3 linked regions of the Daphnia pulex genome follow. The protein of the gene in region 1 interacts with the protein of each later gene in a pairwise test. Links are inferred from orthologs where the notes say so. Each region holds a gene or a part of one and is shown in the gene's direction. Other genes may lie near its edges.

Region 1 (5,294 bases):
AAAATCCTTAATTACCCTAATGGATGATTGACATCTTCCCACGAATCTATACGAGCTAAATAGAGCATATTGGGTTGTAATAAGCAACTAGCGAGTTCTGGCGCAAACGGAATTTTCAAACGAGGGATACGGTGGTCTTTGGGTGCGAACAAAATCCAACTCGGTAATGGTCCGGATTGACCGTAAGGCCATTGTCTCAAACTGCCAATAGCACACCTTGAGTGCTTTAGCTCTTTGATGAATACAACCTGTCAATTAGAAGCAATAATTTAAAACATTTTAAAACACTTCATGAAAATGACGAAATTACCTTGGCAATTTTTCTTGGGGTATTGACAATATTTGGGTTCTGTTGACTATTTTCATCAATTGTTCCAGCCGTATTTATGTGTGATTTATTCTGTAAAACTACGCTTAAAGTTTCTACTTGAACGGTGGTAGTCTTCGTTAAAGAATCCTCAATTGTACATGATGCGCTTAATTGTGCGGTGAGATTTTCAACAATGACATTTTTCTTCTTTCTTGGCCTGCGAGTTCTTTTTCTCTGCTCTTCCGCAGGATTATCCAACTAAAGAAAGCAATGAGTTTCTAAGTTATTATCTTCAAGTACATAAAAAAAAATAAAGTATTTACGTTAGTTACATTTTCGGCCATTGTTGAAGGGGTTTTTAGACCGCTTTTGTCTTGCAATTCTGCACCAAGATTTAAATTTGAAACATTTTCCATCAATTTCTTCGGCTTTTTCCTATTTTTTGGTCCCAGGGTTTTCGCGCCCCTAACTTCACGTGAAGCGGCTAAATCTGCATCCACACACTGAACTTCCTTTTCAGTCACTTTTGAAATATTTTCTTTGAGTTCACTGGCTGCAGCCAAATTTTTTGGAGTAATAGGCTGTTCGTTTTGCTGAATGTTTGGTGAACTCGGACTCTCAGCAAAACTTTTTTCACATTCTTTGTTTGCAGTTTGTGTTGGCAGCATCTCACAAACAACAATATCTCCATTAAGTGCTCTGTTTCTGTGCAAAATTCCTTCAATCAGAAAATCTTCGGTTCCATCCTAATACCATTGAGATTTGTTCAGTTAGTTCTTTTGAATATCAAAACTTGTGAAAACAAATTTGCAAGCAATACTTACAGGTGCAGAAATGTATGCCTCTTTATAGTTTTTAGGATTGATTCTTAAAACACCCTATAAATACAACAAACACAGACAGTTAAAACATTACATCAATTAATTCTGAATATAACCAAAACCTACTTCAAAAAGGGACTCATTCCGTAATCCTTCTTCAACATCCTTTTGGTCCCAATAATTTTCAAAAGTTTTACTACGATTGGGTCTCTGTGGTGTGGAGTTTTTACCAATTGACTTTGCCATGATTAATTTCTTGTATGGGCAGATTATGTATAGAACTTATCATCAATGTAATTAAGAAAATGTAGGAATAAATGCAAATTGGCAGATCAGTATACAAATGTCAGTTATTGCTTTCCCTCTGTTGGAACCCTTATAAACTGGTTACTGACCAGTGCTAAAAATATTGAGTTAAAACCTTTGTCAGAGGTTTGAAAGTCATAATAAATCTCAACACTCGTCAGATTACAACCTGATTAACAGTTGACGAAAACTCTTCCACAAAATGTTTTACTTTCTTGGAAGCATGCAATGAGCAAAGATTCTCACTCTTGTCGTGCAAAAAATAGCCGTACTATCTAGACTTCAATCGTTGCTTCAAATTTGAGTAAAAAAAATAAAAGTTTCGAAATTCAGGGATATTCGGCTGACGCTAATATTTTCAAATGAGAAAGATAACTTTAATGGAAACCCTAATCTCTGGGAGATATTCACAATTTTTGCATCTTACTCTTGCACAATCTCTTTGACAACAAGCAGACGATATTGGTCGTCTGCAAACAGCTGAGAGATTTCGTCACGATTCCAGACAAGCCGCAATAACAAGTTTGTGTCAGATTTCGGTTAAAGCCGTTAAAGCTGATTAAAAACATTTAACAGCCATGGAAGATCATTGCGACTCTCAGATAAAAATGGATTTAAAAGTTAGTCTCAAGGACAGCATAATAAAAGAAGCTCTGAATTCGGGTGTAGATTTGAGACAGTATTCACAACAAGTAGAACAACAATTACAAGAGGTATACATTTTTGACATGTTATGAGTTCAGCTAACCAACTTCCTCTTTCCAGGTTGAACTAGTGTCTGTGCAAGATTATGTCAATCAGGGAACATCATTAGCACAGCTTCATTCACAGTTCACCCAATGTGATGTCGCTCTTGAAAGAATGGAAGTGCTTCTAAGTACCTTCAGATCTCAACTAGGTGGTTTAAGCAGTGATATTTTACAACTCCAGCACCAATCAGCTCAGTTGGGATTACGTTTGTCTAATCGACAGGCAGCTAGATCCTTGGCAGGACAAATAATTGATGATTTGGTAATTCCTGAAGCCCTGATAAGGTAAAATTACAAAGTACATCTATTTGTCTATGTGTTGTAATTTTTAAAAATTTAACATTCTTGAATAGACATCTACTTGAAACTCCAGTGACAGAGCCTTCGTTCTCTGAACAGTTGATAATACTTCAAGCAAAGTTGGCTTTGAGTGGTGATCACCATCAGAGGTGCAGTAGAGCTGCTCAAGTGAGTAGGCCTAACCATATAGTTTGAGTTTGTGATTTAAAAAAAATGTCTAATATTTTCTACCTAATATTTTATGCATTTTAAGGATGTGGTTCCTGTCCTAGGTGCATTAAGGATTAAGGTGGTTGAAAGACTTAGGCAGTTTCTGCTTTTGAAACTACAACAACTTAGAAGGCCACTTGCTAATTATCAACTACCACAGAATTCTCTTCTAAAACACAAGTAAGCCTCTGGGTTTTCTTTCTGGATTCCAAATACAATTCACATTTATGTTTTGTTTCACTAGGAATTTTTACCACTTTCTCATAACCCAAGAGCCTGAAATAGCTTATGAAGTGAGGCAAGACTATGTGCAGACAATGTCAAAGCTATATTTCTCTTATTTTAAGGTTCGTGTTTTGATTTAAGAAATAATAATAATTTGTTTGGATATAAATTATGATTTTTTCGTCTATATTCTCAATTGTTTCTTGTTCTAGAGCTACTCCACGCGATTACTGAAACTTGTGGATTCAAATAGTGTTAATAAAGATGATGTTCTTGCTTCCGAAGATGCATCGTTAGGTGCGGCTGCTGCTGCCGCCGCAAGGTCCTTGTTTGGAAGAGCCGCTCCTAGTGGGCGTAGTTCTAGCAGTAAATCTACGGTTTTTACCTTAGGTAACCCCAAAAATTCTTTCTTGCAATATATTTGCTTATTTTTTGCTGTCTTCTTTTTTTAAAATAATAGGAACTCGAATTGAAGTTGTTACAAACTTAGAAGCCCCTGTTCTAGTTCCTCACGCAGCTGCCACTGGTACCAGCGCTGGCCATAAAGGTGAAACGAAATATTCGTATGAAATCGTTTTCCGATCTCAACACTACGCATTGGCCGATAATGCTTGCCGCGAGTATTTGTTCCTCTGTGAATTTTTCCACGTTGAAAGAGCCCCTGCCATGGAGCTATTTCAAGAAGTAATGGGGAAGACCTGCACTATTTATATGGTAAGTTTACTATACACAATGCGCAGCATATTATTCCTTTCTAGCGTCATTTGTTTTTTTTTTCTTTTTAGAAATTTGTGGAAGAATATGTTTCGTCTTGTTATGACTCACTTGCCCTTTTTCTTTGCATCCAAATGGTCCAACGTTTGCAATATCTTTGCCACAAGAGAGCCGTTCCAGCTTTAGATTTTTATTACGAATCTCTCGTCTCCACGTTATGGCCTAGGTAATACTGTTAAATTTAAATGATTTGTTGACTTTTTTCTTTAATATTTGCCATATTTCTTAGATTTGAATATTTGGTACAAGCAAACATTCAGAGTGTCCGTGACTGCGATCCATCTAGACTTTATTCAAACATTGATACGCGACCACACTATGTATTTACCTTAAACATACTTTGATTAAATTTCTAAACTAACGAAAAAACATTAATAGGTAGTGCGACGATACGCCGAGTATACTTCAGCCATTTCTGCGATTCACGGTTAAACACTTTTTTTCCTATTGCATTAATTCTTGTGTCGTAATTTTCTTTATTTTGTATAAAAAGAGCATAACAGTATAACTTCAGCCATGGACTGGACTCCACGCCTACACCATTTACTTTCGACCATGCAAGAGGAGGTTGAAGGCTTCACGTTGCGCCTTGCTGCAGCCTTTACTAAACGAAAGGATCAATTAGTAGCCCTAATCAACAACTACGACCTGATGCTGAGTGTGATGACCGTAATATAACTAGATTTTAGTATTTTACCGAGTTTCTCAGCTTATGTATTAAAACTTGTTGTCTATTTATTAAGGAGCGCAACCGAGAAGAAAGTCGTGAAGCCGCTCGGTGTAAGGAATTGCTGTCTGCTAGAATTTCAGAATTTGTCGAAGAAATTCTTTTTTTCCATTTTGAGGGACTCGTCCGATTCGTCAAAGACTGCGAAGTCATGCTTACTCGAGGGCTTAACGAAGCGTTGCGGAACGAAGAACGTATGCATTTTTTAAAGTCTTTAATTTTATTATTAGTTTTGTCTCTCGATATATAGAATTGTTCCGTTTCTCTTTAATCGGCTTAAAGGTCGGGCCACGCAAACCATAAACGCTTTCATGGCTGGATGGAAGAAATCTTTGGACGAGATTAATAAAGAAATCTTAAATCTGTTTCCGAATTTCAAAAACGGAACCAACATTCTACAAGCGACGTTGACTCAACTCGTCGAATACTACCACCGTTTCCAAAAAATCCTAACCCAACATCCATTCCGCAACGTTCCTGCTCGTGCTGATTTGATTAACATTCATCAATTAATGGTAGAAGTCAGAAGGTACAAGCCAGCTTTCTAAATTTTAAAGATTTGAAGCCTGATTTGTTGAATACATGTATTAATATTAGTTAAAATGGGAATGACTCGTGAATATTGATCGCTGACTAGGTTAAAGGGAATTCATAATATTTAAAAAAAAACGTTCGTTATTTTAATGTTATCGATTTTAGAATTAAAGCTTGAATGGTTCTGAGTAATGTAGAACTTTCTTAAAGTTAATGAGACAGAAAGTGTGCTCTTGAAATGCCAGTAGAGTGCACGTTAGTAAACGTCACCAAAAACCGAACAGCAATCCTTATCAGGCGTACGTATAGATAAAATTCGTGCTTTGTATGCCGTGGGA
Region 2 (5,294 bases), on another chromosome or scaffold:
TACATGACGACGCCTAAACCCCACCAGTCGACTGCCCTTCCGTAGTCATTGTCTTCGAGCACTTCGGGCGCTAGATATTCCGGTGTTCCACAAAACGTCTTGGTCGTCCGCCCGTAAGTGATGTCCTCTTTGCAAAGTCCAAAGTCGGCTATTTTGATGTGCCCATCTTTGTCGAGTAACAAATTTTCCAGCTGCGAGTCGAAACAATTAATAGATATGCACAGATATTAAAAGATTGGCGAGGAAGAATCAATTCCAAACAATGATTATACTTTAAGATCTCTGTAGATGATTCCCTGCTCGTGTAGATAACCGAGCGCCGAAACAATTTCCGCTCCATAAAATCGCGTCCTGTCTTCAGAGAAAATTCTCTCGCGCGAAAGATGGAAAAACAGTTCGCCTCCGTTGACGTATTCCATTACGAAACACAGTCTTTCAGCGGTTTGAAAGGAATATTTCAACGCCTTTTTTAGAGAATGTAAACAGATGTGAATGAAAGGACGAAAGATATAGATGAATGAAGTCTGTCGCTTACAATCAAGAAAGGATGGTTGGTGGTTTGCAGTACGCGGTTTTCCGTCAGCGTATGGGCAACTTCATCTTTCGCAATAATGACTTCCTTTTTCAGGATTTTTATGGCGAATAAGTGCCCAGTGCCTTTTTCTCGGCAAAGAATGACTTTTCCGAACGTGCCTTTGCCCAACATTTTGATAAATTCAAAATTTTCCAAAGTCTAACGTGAAAAACGAAAGACAACAAGAAATCCAATATAATACGTCGTTTTAGATTAAAAATAAAAACTGGATTATCGCTGTTTTAACGAATAACTCTATAACTTCGATGCTTTTTTAGTCAGTTCAATGAATTCATTTACGTACCACTTTCTTTTTTCCTGAATGATGGGGTCGATTAGAGGTTCCAGTTATGAGAAATTTCATTTGAAATTCATCATTCCCTGAATCCATCGGCGAAGAAACCATTTTATTGGACAGGGACGAGGGTGACGAAGAGTTTTTCAGATCGTTTTCTTCGGATACAGCTGGCATATCTACGTCGGTACTATCTGTATCTGTATGAAGTCGCGCAGCCACATGCTCTATAGCGACCATCCATTCTTCCCTATAACACCAACATCATTTTTTGGAAAATTAGTTAAATCCACTTGCAACAAACAATAATATTATTTTTTTCAGATTATAAATTGTTATGTAATCTGAAATAACAAGTTTTGTTCATTCACACACCTTTCTTTTTCTGACTCAACATGAAAAGTTCTTTCAATTACAGTTGTCCACTGAAGACCACGAATATGGAAAGTAAATGGTTTTGGGCGGTCCTATTAGTAGAAGGGGTATTGTGAATATTGTGTTAAAATTGTGAAAAAAAACCACAACAAAAGCATTTTGCTAAATTTCTTACAGCTTTCATAATTTGGCATCCTTTTACAGTGAAATTATTGAGTGGTTCGGCAAGCCCAATGCTTGGTTCAGGCTTGTGCTTGAATCCAAGTAATGATCCATCATCTAGCAGCACAAAATATCTTTGACGCCAGTTTTTTATGTGTTCACCTGAAAAACAAAGGAATGTTAAATAAGTATTCACAACAACAATAAGATTGTAGGTAGTGTTGTTATGTTATAACCCACCTCTTTTTAGTAGCCAGCCCTCCTTAATAATGGCAGGAGATTTTGCTGGCACTGCAGACTCAGCCATTATGAAAATACCTAGAATAAATTAAAATGTTCTAGATTTGAAATTGGAACAGCAATGAGATCACAACTGGACTACATAAAACAACAATATGGGAATTGAGGAGCGGAAGCGATTGAAGAGATAATCCGCCTTAAATTTCCTCACATTGTCAGCTCCAGATGTAAATAAATATTTTCTTACCATTAATTTATTTGATGAACCATCAAAATATTGTTTTTTTTTAACCGAACTAGAAAATTTCTAGTTGTTTTCAGAAGTGCGTGATTTTCCTCGTTGGCAAGCAGTAAGAATGCAATGGCTGCACAGCGCCATAATTTAAATAACGACAGTTTTACGAACTAGAAAACAAAAGAGTAGCAGCGTACGCCAGGGTTCGAAAAGCGCCAAACTCGAAATGACCACGTAGACGATATGAAAAAGTCACAACGTAGCATTGAACAAAGTACGTTATGTAATGTTAAATAAATAAAATTCCTCTCTTTTTCAATAAAAATGTGATTGACGTTGTGTGCGACGTTGGTAGAGGAATTGTTGTGCACTGATATATCGAATGGTATGTTCGTTAGCTCGTATGTATTGCTATTGATTATACGTTCATTGGTGTAGATATCAACTGGAAACTAGGATAGAATTTCATGTCTACCAGGAAATCCTGTTTCTTTGGAAAAAAAGGCGTTGCTTGAGAAGTGCATTTACATTGATTTTTTTTCTCTCATTCGTTCTTTCGACATTTTTTCTAGCGAAGAATGTAATGTAACGTTTCTTATGACTTATCTGACCCTATTAGTCTTTCATTCCGAAATCTAATCAGGTGTTAGAATCAACTCGTAATCTATCCACAATTCACATTTTCTAAATGCAGGAAGAAGTAAGGAAGTAGGGTTGACACAAATCGTGAAATGAATTCTTATGAAATCTGATAACGAAGGACGAAACTATTGATTTAAAATTTAAAATAAGCAGTTTTCTCTTCTGAAAAATATATTTTGACAGTTTACTGTTGCCTTACGTTGTTGATATTACCAATTTACGACAAAAATAATGTTCTCCAATCCTAGAAAAGTCAAATAATAACCATGAAATTCTCAGAAGACTTTTAAAACAAACAATTTAAAACGTTGAACAGTTTACCAACGATTTGTATGCTATACGCTGTCGCTGGTCGAGAATTCAAGACGGAAGTCTAACATTAAAAAAAATAGTTTCTCAGTTTTTTTTTAATTTTTTATGTCGTTCAACGTTCAAGCGTGATTTTTAAATCAGTAAGTCTGACTAAGTCGCGTCTTGAAGAGAAATCTATGTTCCTAGTTCAAGGTTACACCATTCACTAAGAACTAACAAACAAAGATTTTTTTATTTAAAATTTTGTTAAAATTTACTTTTTTTTAATGTCTCTCGATTCTAAATTGAAATATTTGATATGGCAACCTGCATCCTGCTGACATTCGTATTCTGTGCTTTCGTTCGTCTGCTTCTAGCACGTGCTTGGAATATTTCGTCAACATCGTCAATATCAGGTCAGCTAAAAACTTTTTTTGTTTAATGTGTATTTCCATCGTTCAGTCATGACATTAATATTTAGAAATATTTTTCAAGTCTTGCAAGATATTTTCATTTGATAGGAATACAAATACTTACTGTTGTGCTAAAAATTATGTAAAAAAATGTTAAGTTGCTGGGATGTGGGATAGCAATAAATTTTGTTTTTCTACACATATACTGTAATGCTGGAAATTTTTGTATTTTGAGCAGCATGGGTGAAACCAATACCCCTCCTGTTTCTCCACGTGATCAAGAGCCCAATGATTCTGATGAAGAAATTGTCGGAAACCAGAACGAAGATGAAGACTTTGAAGTGATTGAAGTCTATGAAGAAGATATTGAAAATGAAGAGGGAGCAGAAGGTGAGGATGGTGAAAATGAAGCAGAAGGTGAAGATGGAATGGAAGAACTAGACATACCCGATGATGCTTTATTAACATTCAAGCAACATACTGGTAAGTGCTTCTTGATGCTGATCGATACCATGCAAGTGATTACAATTTGCTCAAATATTTTAATCTTCCACAGGTTCAGTGTTTTGTTGTTCTTTCGAACCCAAGGAAAGTAAACTGGTTGTGTCGGGTGGAGAGGACGACAAAGCATATGTGTGGAATATCACAGATGGCCAGGTTCTTTTTGAATGTACAAATCATCAAGACTCTGTCACCTGCGCACTTTTTAGTCATGACGGTTGCTACGTCGCCACAGCTGATATGGCCGGCTTAATCCAAGTTTGGAAGGTGGCAACCAAATCTGTCGTTTGGACATTTGAAACGGGAGATTTAACTGTAAGACTTATTTGAAAAAAAAACAAGCGATATGAATGTTGATTATTATTAATTTTTTTCTAGTGGATAGATTGGCACCCAGCATCCCATATTTTATTTGCTGGTACTGACGCAGGAGACACTTGGATGTGGAAAATTCCGTCTGGAGATTGTAAAACTTTACCCGGTCATGGAGAGAGGAACGAATGTGGCAAAATTCTTCCAGATGGTATTACTGACGATAAAGAATCTATTGGCTTGATTTTGAATTGTAATTTATTAAAACAGGTAGGCGGATAGCTGTTGGCTACGTTGACGGTTCGGTGAAAGTGTTTGATTTGAAAACCTTGGCTGTTCTTCAGCACTCAAATGGAGGACAAACTCACACGAATGGTGTTTCCTCGATCGATTGTCATCGCGACAATAACTTGATTGTCTCCGGATCTTTTGATTCTACAGCCAAACTATACAACAGTCAAACTGGCAAAGTATTTATTAACACCATTTTCTCATAAATTAAAAATCCTTAATAAATATTTGCCTTTTGCAGCTTTTGTGCACCTTGTCCTGCGTGGGCGTTGGTGGTTCTGAAGATCAGAGCTCAGTCGAAGCAGTTTCGTTTTGTCCTGAAACATCCGTGAACCTCGTCGTCACAGGCACGCTGAGCGGGAAAATCAGTTGTTGGGACATACCAACTCAAATCGAAAGGCAGTCGTACGATCAGTCAGCAGGAGTCGTGAAGCTCGTGTGGCATCCCAAACACACGCATCTACTCTTCTCCGCTGGTCTGGACGGCGTGGTCCGTTTGATTGACTCTAGAAGTGGTACCCTGGTGCGCGAGTACAGAGGCCACACGGCCGACCTATTAGACATTTCCGTGTCCTTGTAAGTATTTCTAGATTTAAATGTTGTAACTGATTTCCCGAATTTTAAAATATTATTTCCTTTGCAGCGATGGTTACCATCTGGTTACGTCGTCGGACGACCAAACTTGTCGAGTATTTGAAGTGAACGTTGACCATTGAGAGTTGTGTGCCTTTGAACCATCGCCAACTGCTTCCTCATCCATCGTGACCGAAGATTCTCGGTTTGACAGTTATTCACCCGTGCTCTTTTGGTATCCAAGTTTGTTTGTTTGTTTTTTCAATCTCTCGGCTTGTTATGTAATTATCGAAAGAAAAGACTGAAGAGGAAGAAATCCATCTCAATTGAAAAATTCCTGCCGTCTCCAGTCCACCAAGTCTTTCTCTTTTGCTTGGAGGGTTTTTCTCA
Region 3 (5,294 bases), on another chromosome or scaffold:
AGAAAAATTTAACCAACAAACAACACAACATACCCAATAACATGCTCGCCAAGTACTCCAAGACAACCGACCGAGCAACCTAAAAAGACGACAAAATAAAATCATCGTTAAGGTGCAGAAAGCAGTAGCTCAAATGCAGATTAAGATAAATAATCTATCAGGGACTCGAGTGAGTCTTCATATAATTGTCAGAAACACAGGAAACAATTGTTCATCATGATATTTACGTTTAATTCGTTAACATATTGAGCTATTACCTAATATCCTATGAAGATGGCGCCAAAAAAAAAAAACACCGAACAATAAACCAGTCCATCTGAACACACAAAAAACACAAGTTATTTTCATGAATTTGTCCGGTTGCCCAACCCCTTGCTTAAAAAAAAAACAAAGCAAGAAAGGCCTCAGGGACTCGCTTTAATGTTGCAAACAGGACAATAAGAAACCTGGCGTACAATTGTCTCCTTAAACAAACCTGTTTGCCGAGTCTCGCATTAAAAAAAATTTACCTTGTGTAAAATGAACTCCTCGGATTCCAATGACGTTGACCAAGAAGCAATACCACATTACCTACAGAAAAAAATAAATCTATAACATCAGTTTGTATCGCTGATATCGTCAACTCAGTTAAAGATCAAAAGGAAGGCAGAATGAATCATCATGGAACTCGGAAAATGCTTTTAAGCGTTCTCATCATTTCAATTTACGTTAAACATTACAAGTAATTCTCTCTACTCACTACGTAGATCATGAAATCACCAGCATCTCGAAACGAAAGAAAATGAAACTCCAGTTTTTGGCCCAGTAGCTCAACAATCGACGGCGGTTGTTAAACAAGACAATCTGAATAAACGAACCAAACAAATCGTCAATATTTGTTTACAGCCGATTAAATGATATTAAAAAGCCTGAATTATCAGGGACTCGAGTGGGTCTTCATGGTTGTCAGAAACACAGGAAACTGTTGTTCATCACAAAAATCCAAAAGAAACCATTAAAACTGTCCATTTACCTAAGAATCGCAAACACCTTCATGATTGTATCTCATCTAGTGTAATGCACACCCACTGCCTGCAAAAAAATAAAAATAAACACCATTAAAATGTTAAATCTTCCTGTAAAGTCAAAACAAATTGTCTCAAACCGAGGTGATCAACCTCTGCAATAAATACAGATCGAGCATAAGTGGTTAGACGTTTAATTTATGAGATCCTCTAGCACCGGAATACTACATGTGCGTTAAACCGGTGACTCTGAGGCTCAAATGCAAATGTAAAAATAACTATACCTCCTCCATTGGCTCCATAGCCGTAACAGTCGACATCCATCCTCCACGAAATGTCTTGGCATGGAATCTTCTCTGTAAAAACGATATAACGTTAAGGCGAGGACTAGACCAAAATGACGACAAGTCACTCGATACTTTCAGCACATTTAGTAATCAGGGTACATATTTAGGTGTCCTAAGAGTGTCATCAGCAAAATCCAACAGCATATTTTACATATATGATAAGAAAACCAACCTTTATTCCTCGATTACATTCAAATCAGCGAATTCTGGAAGATAGGTTACAACCAACCGGTGCAAAACCAAGTGAGGTCAGAAATCAATCTAGACATAATTGATCATGAAAATCTACAAACCATTTCAGTGTGATACTGCTTTGGTCTACACTTCAGAATATTGCGATAGAGATTTAATCAAAATATTAATTTAGGTACACTAAATTTCATTGTAATCCTAGGGTCATCAGGACTATTTACCCATATACAATAGGAATTCGTTTTTACCTTCCAAACTAGTCGTCTTCAAGGCACCAATGTAGCCTAAATGCATGATTTGTCTCACAGCCCTTCAAAAATTGTTTCCGATCCTTGCACTCATCTGCCATCATCCCTCCTGGCATTGAAGATATCAACCTAAAATGAACAGATTAAGAGATATAATCAAACCTGTTCCTACATGAGGCAAATTAACAACTTAAATTGACAAGTTAGTTACTAGACAAGAGGAAATTTCATTCGCCTCATGACCGTTACTGCAACATTGATTTCAGACTGAACATGGAATTTCACTTAAAACTACTTATTATCAAACTTGTCCATTTTAACCAAAGAAACCCCAGACCAACCTGAGGCTTCTTTCTCTATAATATACTTCTTAGAGAAAGTCGGTTTTATTAGACTTCAACCTTACCAAAGCAATACACATATAGATATTAAAAATGTTCAGGCTAATTACTGTGTTAAGAGCGTTAACCATATCCTACAACTACGTTTTCAAAACTTAAATGAGAAACTAAAAAATTAGAAAACCCAGAATAACCACGTGTTGATCAACTTACATGTTCAGCATTTGAAGGATTGGTTTGAAATGAAAAGAAGTGACGTTGGCACTTCCATATGTAAACTTCGTTCCCTAACCGTCAGACTGCGTTTTACGGTTTAATTTTTCTACCGCCCGATGGCTCTGCAACACCTTGTTGTTGCATTTATTTAGGTACGTCAATTCTGTTCCCCCTTTATTAAAAAAGAAAGAAACGCGAACTCTTACTGAGAAGCAGGTGTGTTTACTTAATTAGGTCAAAGTTTTCTTGGCCGTTTTGTTAACCAAGAAAAATGGGAATTGAAATAAATCGATTTCAAGGAGAAGTTGATGAAGAATTGTTGTGTCCAATTTGTAGTTCAGTGCTCGAAAATCCGTTACAGGTAATAATGACAGTTCGCTTCCAAAAGCGAGAGTAGCAATAAAATTTCCCCAGAGGGAATGTGATGGATTTAATAGACTTGTAATTTCAGGCACCCAACTGTGAGCATGCATTTTGCTCTGCTTGCATTCACGAGTGGCTCTCGAGACAGCCAACTTGTCCTGTCGACAGACAAAACATAACCCCTCCTCAGCTGAGACCTGTTCCCAGAATACTTCGGAACCTACTATACAGGTTGGTGGTTTGGAAGTTTGAAACCTTATTATCAGTATGAAATTGTACCATTTCTCTATTATTTTTCTAGACTACAGCTCACTTGTGATAACTCTGTTTATGGGTGCACTGCAATATTGAAACTAGATGCCCTGGAGTCTCATGTACAAGAATGTGAGTTCAATCCAAAGAGACCGGTGCCATGTGAGCTCGGCTGTGGGCTAGTTGTGCCAAAAGACGAGTTGAAAGTAAGTGGGTTGTTTTACAGGTTACAACTTTAAATAGTACCTTATTTATGTTGATTGCATTTCCAGGAACACAACTGCGTGCGAGAGCTGCGCTCGTTGATGCAGGCCCAGCAATCGAAACTAGTTGAGGTGCAGGCGGAAGTAGCCGAGGGCAAATTTCAGATGAGCGAACAGAAACGAGAACTGCAGCTGCTGAAGGACTACATGCTAGCCATGCGGAACGCCAATCCTTCGCTGCGGATTCTGGCAGATCAGATGGAAGCCGACGAAGTGAGACGCTGGGCCGAAACTCTACCCAAGGCGAGAGTCCTGCGCTGGGGTGGCATGATCTCGACTCCGGACACGGTGCTACAGGTAATATCCTACAGTTGGCGAGCTCAATACATTCAATCAAATACGATAACCTTTTAAAGTTGCAGGCAATGATCAAGAGAGCCCTTTCCGAATCGGGTTGCCCACCGCACATCATCCAGGATCTGATGGAAAACGCCCACGAACGGCGGTGGCCGACGGGATTGTCGTCGTTGGAAATCCGCCAGCTGAACCGGCGTCAATACGAGAACTATGTCTGCCGGAGGATTCCGGGCAAACAAGCCGTGGCCGTCATGGCCTGCGACAACGGACATATGAATCCAGATATGATATTGGAACCGGGTCTCATCATGATTTTTGCTCACGGTGTAGAGTGACACCCCGGAATTCTTGTCAGATTATTAATCCAACAACATGTTTGTCTTCAGTGTCCTCGCGACCGGCTGGACCACTCCAGCGAGCTGACACTAATGAATTTGTCCCTTTTGTCCTTTAGTTCAGAAGCAGCAGTCCTCTCAACTTACTTAAAAGAATCTGATTTATCTTTTTTCGAATTGTTTATCGTCATCAGTTACTTTCATTGAATCGTGCTCAGTTTGGGGGCTAGGTGTAGGTTTTTATTTGAAATGTTTCTCAATTGGTGTCCCCGCTCTTCGGCGGTTGTAAATGTTCGATACTTGATTAATGATGGCAAAAATCTTGTTTTCTTTCATCATCAACTTTTATGTGCAAATAATGATAGTATATTCCGCCGATGCTGCGGAATAATAAATAATAAAACAATAACTGAGAAGTCAATCGTATGGTATAGACAGTGTGTGTTTGTGTGTATTTTTTTTTTATCTTTTCGTCGATTATTTTTCTGTTATTATCTTTTTCAAACCGGGTTTACTTCTTCTCTCTTTTCAGTTATAATCACATCATCGTCACACATGTTATGTAACATTTTTGTTTTTTTCAAAGTGTGGAAATGGGTTGAGGGTTGGGGGTGGATTTTTTGGAGATGTAATCGCACTACATCACATAGCCATGCTCATCCGAGTATTTAATCACATCACTCAAAAACACTTCCTCTTTTTTAATGAAGTTGATTTTCTTTCTTTTTCGAAACTTTGTTTTCGTCTCCATTCGAATGGCGGAGGGGAAGGATCGGCGGGTAGTGAAACAACATGATACGGGAAGCTAAAGAGATGATTTCAAAACAAGTTATTCACAATTAAGGACAAAATCGATGAGCCAGAGAGAGATAGAGAGAGAGAGAGAGACGTAATAATAAAGTGGTTGGATCGAAATCAAACGTCAAAGAAAAACTACATTGTGTTTGTTGTGTCTGTGCGAACATGTATATACAATTCTTGTACTGAGCTTCTGGAATCTGAAACACACACACACGCATGGAAAATAAAAGACAAATGATTGGCTTTTGTTTCGACGTAATAGAATCGATAATATAATATATAAAATCTTCTGTATATCTATTTAGAGAGAGAGAGAGAGAAAATAAAAGATGGGGGGTGAATCAAACGGCAATTAAAGTTTGTAAGGGGGGTGAGCGAGTTTCAGAATGAAGGGAAAAAATGGGGGGTAACCGACGATCCCGAATCTGCTGACAATCGGATCTGATCTGTGAGGTCCGTTCGGTTTTGAACAAAAAAAAAAGAAAATCAAATAATCAAAAAAAGCCCACACTGCGCAACTGCAGCACACATTTGTTTGTTCTTCTCCTTGTCGCTTTAACCTCAATAATTCTTCGTCTCAAATTGGGCGGGGTCGGGAGAGGAAAGAAGCGCAGCAAGACGTCGTCGTCGCTCCA

The links.
Region 2: the proteins of vacuolar protein sorting-associated protein 52 homolog (region 1) and angio-associated migratory cell protein-like interact in a two-hybrid assay, tested with the Homo sapiens proteins (2 studies listed by BioGRID and IntAct). The link is inferred for Daphnia pulex from reciprocal best matches to the Homo sapiens genes VPS52 and AAMP.
Region 3: the proteins of vacuolar protein sorting-associated protein 52 homolog (region 1) and E3 ubiquitin-protein ligase NRDP1-like interact in binary tests that used the Homo sapiens proteins (3 or more experiments, as listed by UniProt). The link is inferred for Daphnia pulex from reciprocal best matches to the Homo sapiens genes VPS52 and RNF41.

What each region holds. Positions count from the first base shown.
Region 1 is NC_060027.1:4,798,818-4,804,111, forward strand, and holds vacuolar protein sorting-associated protein 52 homolog, read left to right. Parts: upstream 1-1,999; 5' UTR 2,000-2,015; coding exon 2,016-2,150; intron 2,151-2,202; coding exon 2,203-2,471; intron 2,472-2,539; coding exon 2,540-2,654; intron 2,655-2,739; coding exon 2,740-2,876; intron 2,877-2,940; coding exon 2,941-3,043; intron 3,044-3,133; coding exon 3,134-3,311; intron 3,312-3,381; coding exon 3,382-3,635; intron 3,636-3,706; coding exon 3,707-3,861; intron 3,862-3,924; coding exon 3,925-4,015; intron 4,016-4,073; coding exon 4,074-4,122; intron 4,123-4,188; coding exon 4,189-4,364; intron 4,365-4,438; coding exon 4,439-4,616; intron 4,617-4,704; coding exon 4,705-4,970; 3' UTR 4,971-5,018; downstream 5,019-5,294. Other genes in the region: DIS3-like exonuclease 2, read right to left, coding at 16-248, 311-568, 634-1,056, 1,135-1,188, 1,258-1,377. UniProt on the Homo sapiens protein: Acts as a component of the GARP complex that is involved in retrograde transport from early and late endosomes to the trans-Golgi network (TGN).
Region 2 is NC_060020.1:4,205,619-4,210,912, forward strand, and holds angio-associated migratory cell protein-like, read left to right. Parts: upstream 1-2,248; 5' UTR 2,249-2,263; coding exon 2,264-2,266; intron 2,267-3,191; coding exon 3,192-3,229; intron 3,230-3,465; coding exon 3,466-3,710; intron 3,711-3,783; coding exon 3,784-4,043; intron 4,044-4,106; coding exon 4,107-4,251; intron 4,252-4,310; coding exon 4,311-4,510; intron 4,511-4,572; coding exon 4,573-4,907; intron 4,908-4,974; coding exon 4,975-5,047; 3' UTR 5,048-5,240; downstream 5,241-5,294. Other genes in the region: RAC serine/threonine-protein kinase-like, read right to left, coding at 1-191, 273-464, 536-733, 879-1,119, 1,245-1,336, 1,420-1,568, 1,647-1,713. UniProt on the Homo sapiens protein: Plays a role in angiogenesis and cell migration. In smooth muscle cell migration, may act through the RhoA pathway.
Region 3 is NC_060021.1:11,014,306-11,019,599, forward strand, and holds E3 ubiquitin-protein ligase NRDP1-like, read left to right. Parts: upstream 1-2,567; 5' UTR 2,568-2,619; coding exon 2,620-2,709; intron 2,710-2,799; coding exon 2,800-2,942; intron 2,943-3,012; coding exon 3,013-3,169; intron 3,170-3,235; coding exon 3,236-3,523; intron 3,524-3,582; coding exon 3,583-3,858; 3' UTR 3,859-4,289; downstream 4,290-5,294. UniProt on the Homo sapiens protein: Acts as E3 ubiquitin-protein ligase and regulates the degradation of target proteins. Polyubiquitinates MYD88. Negatively regulates MYD88-dependent production of pro-inflammatory cytokines.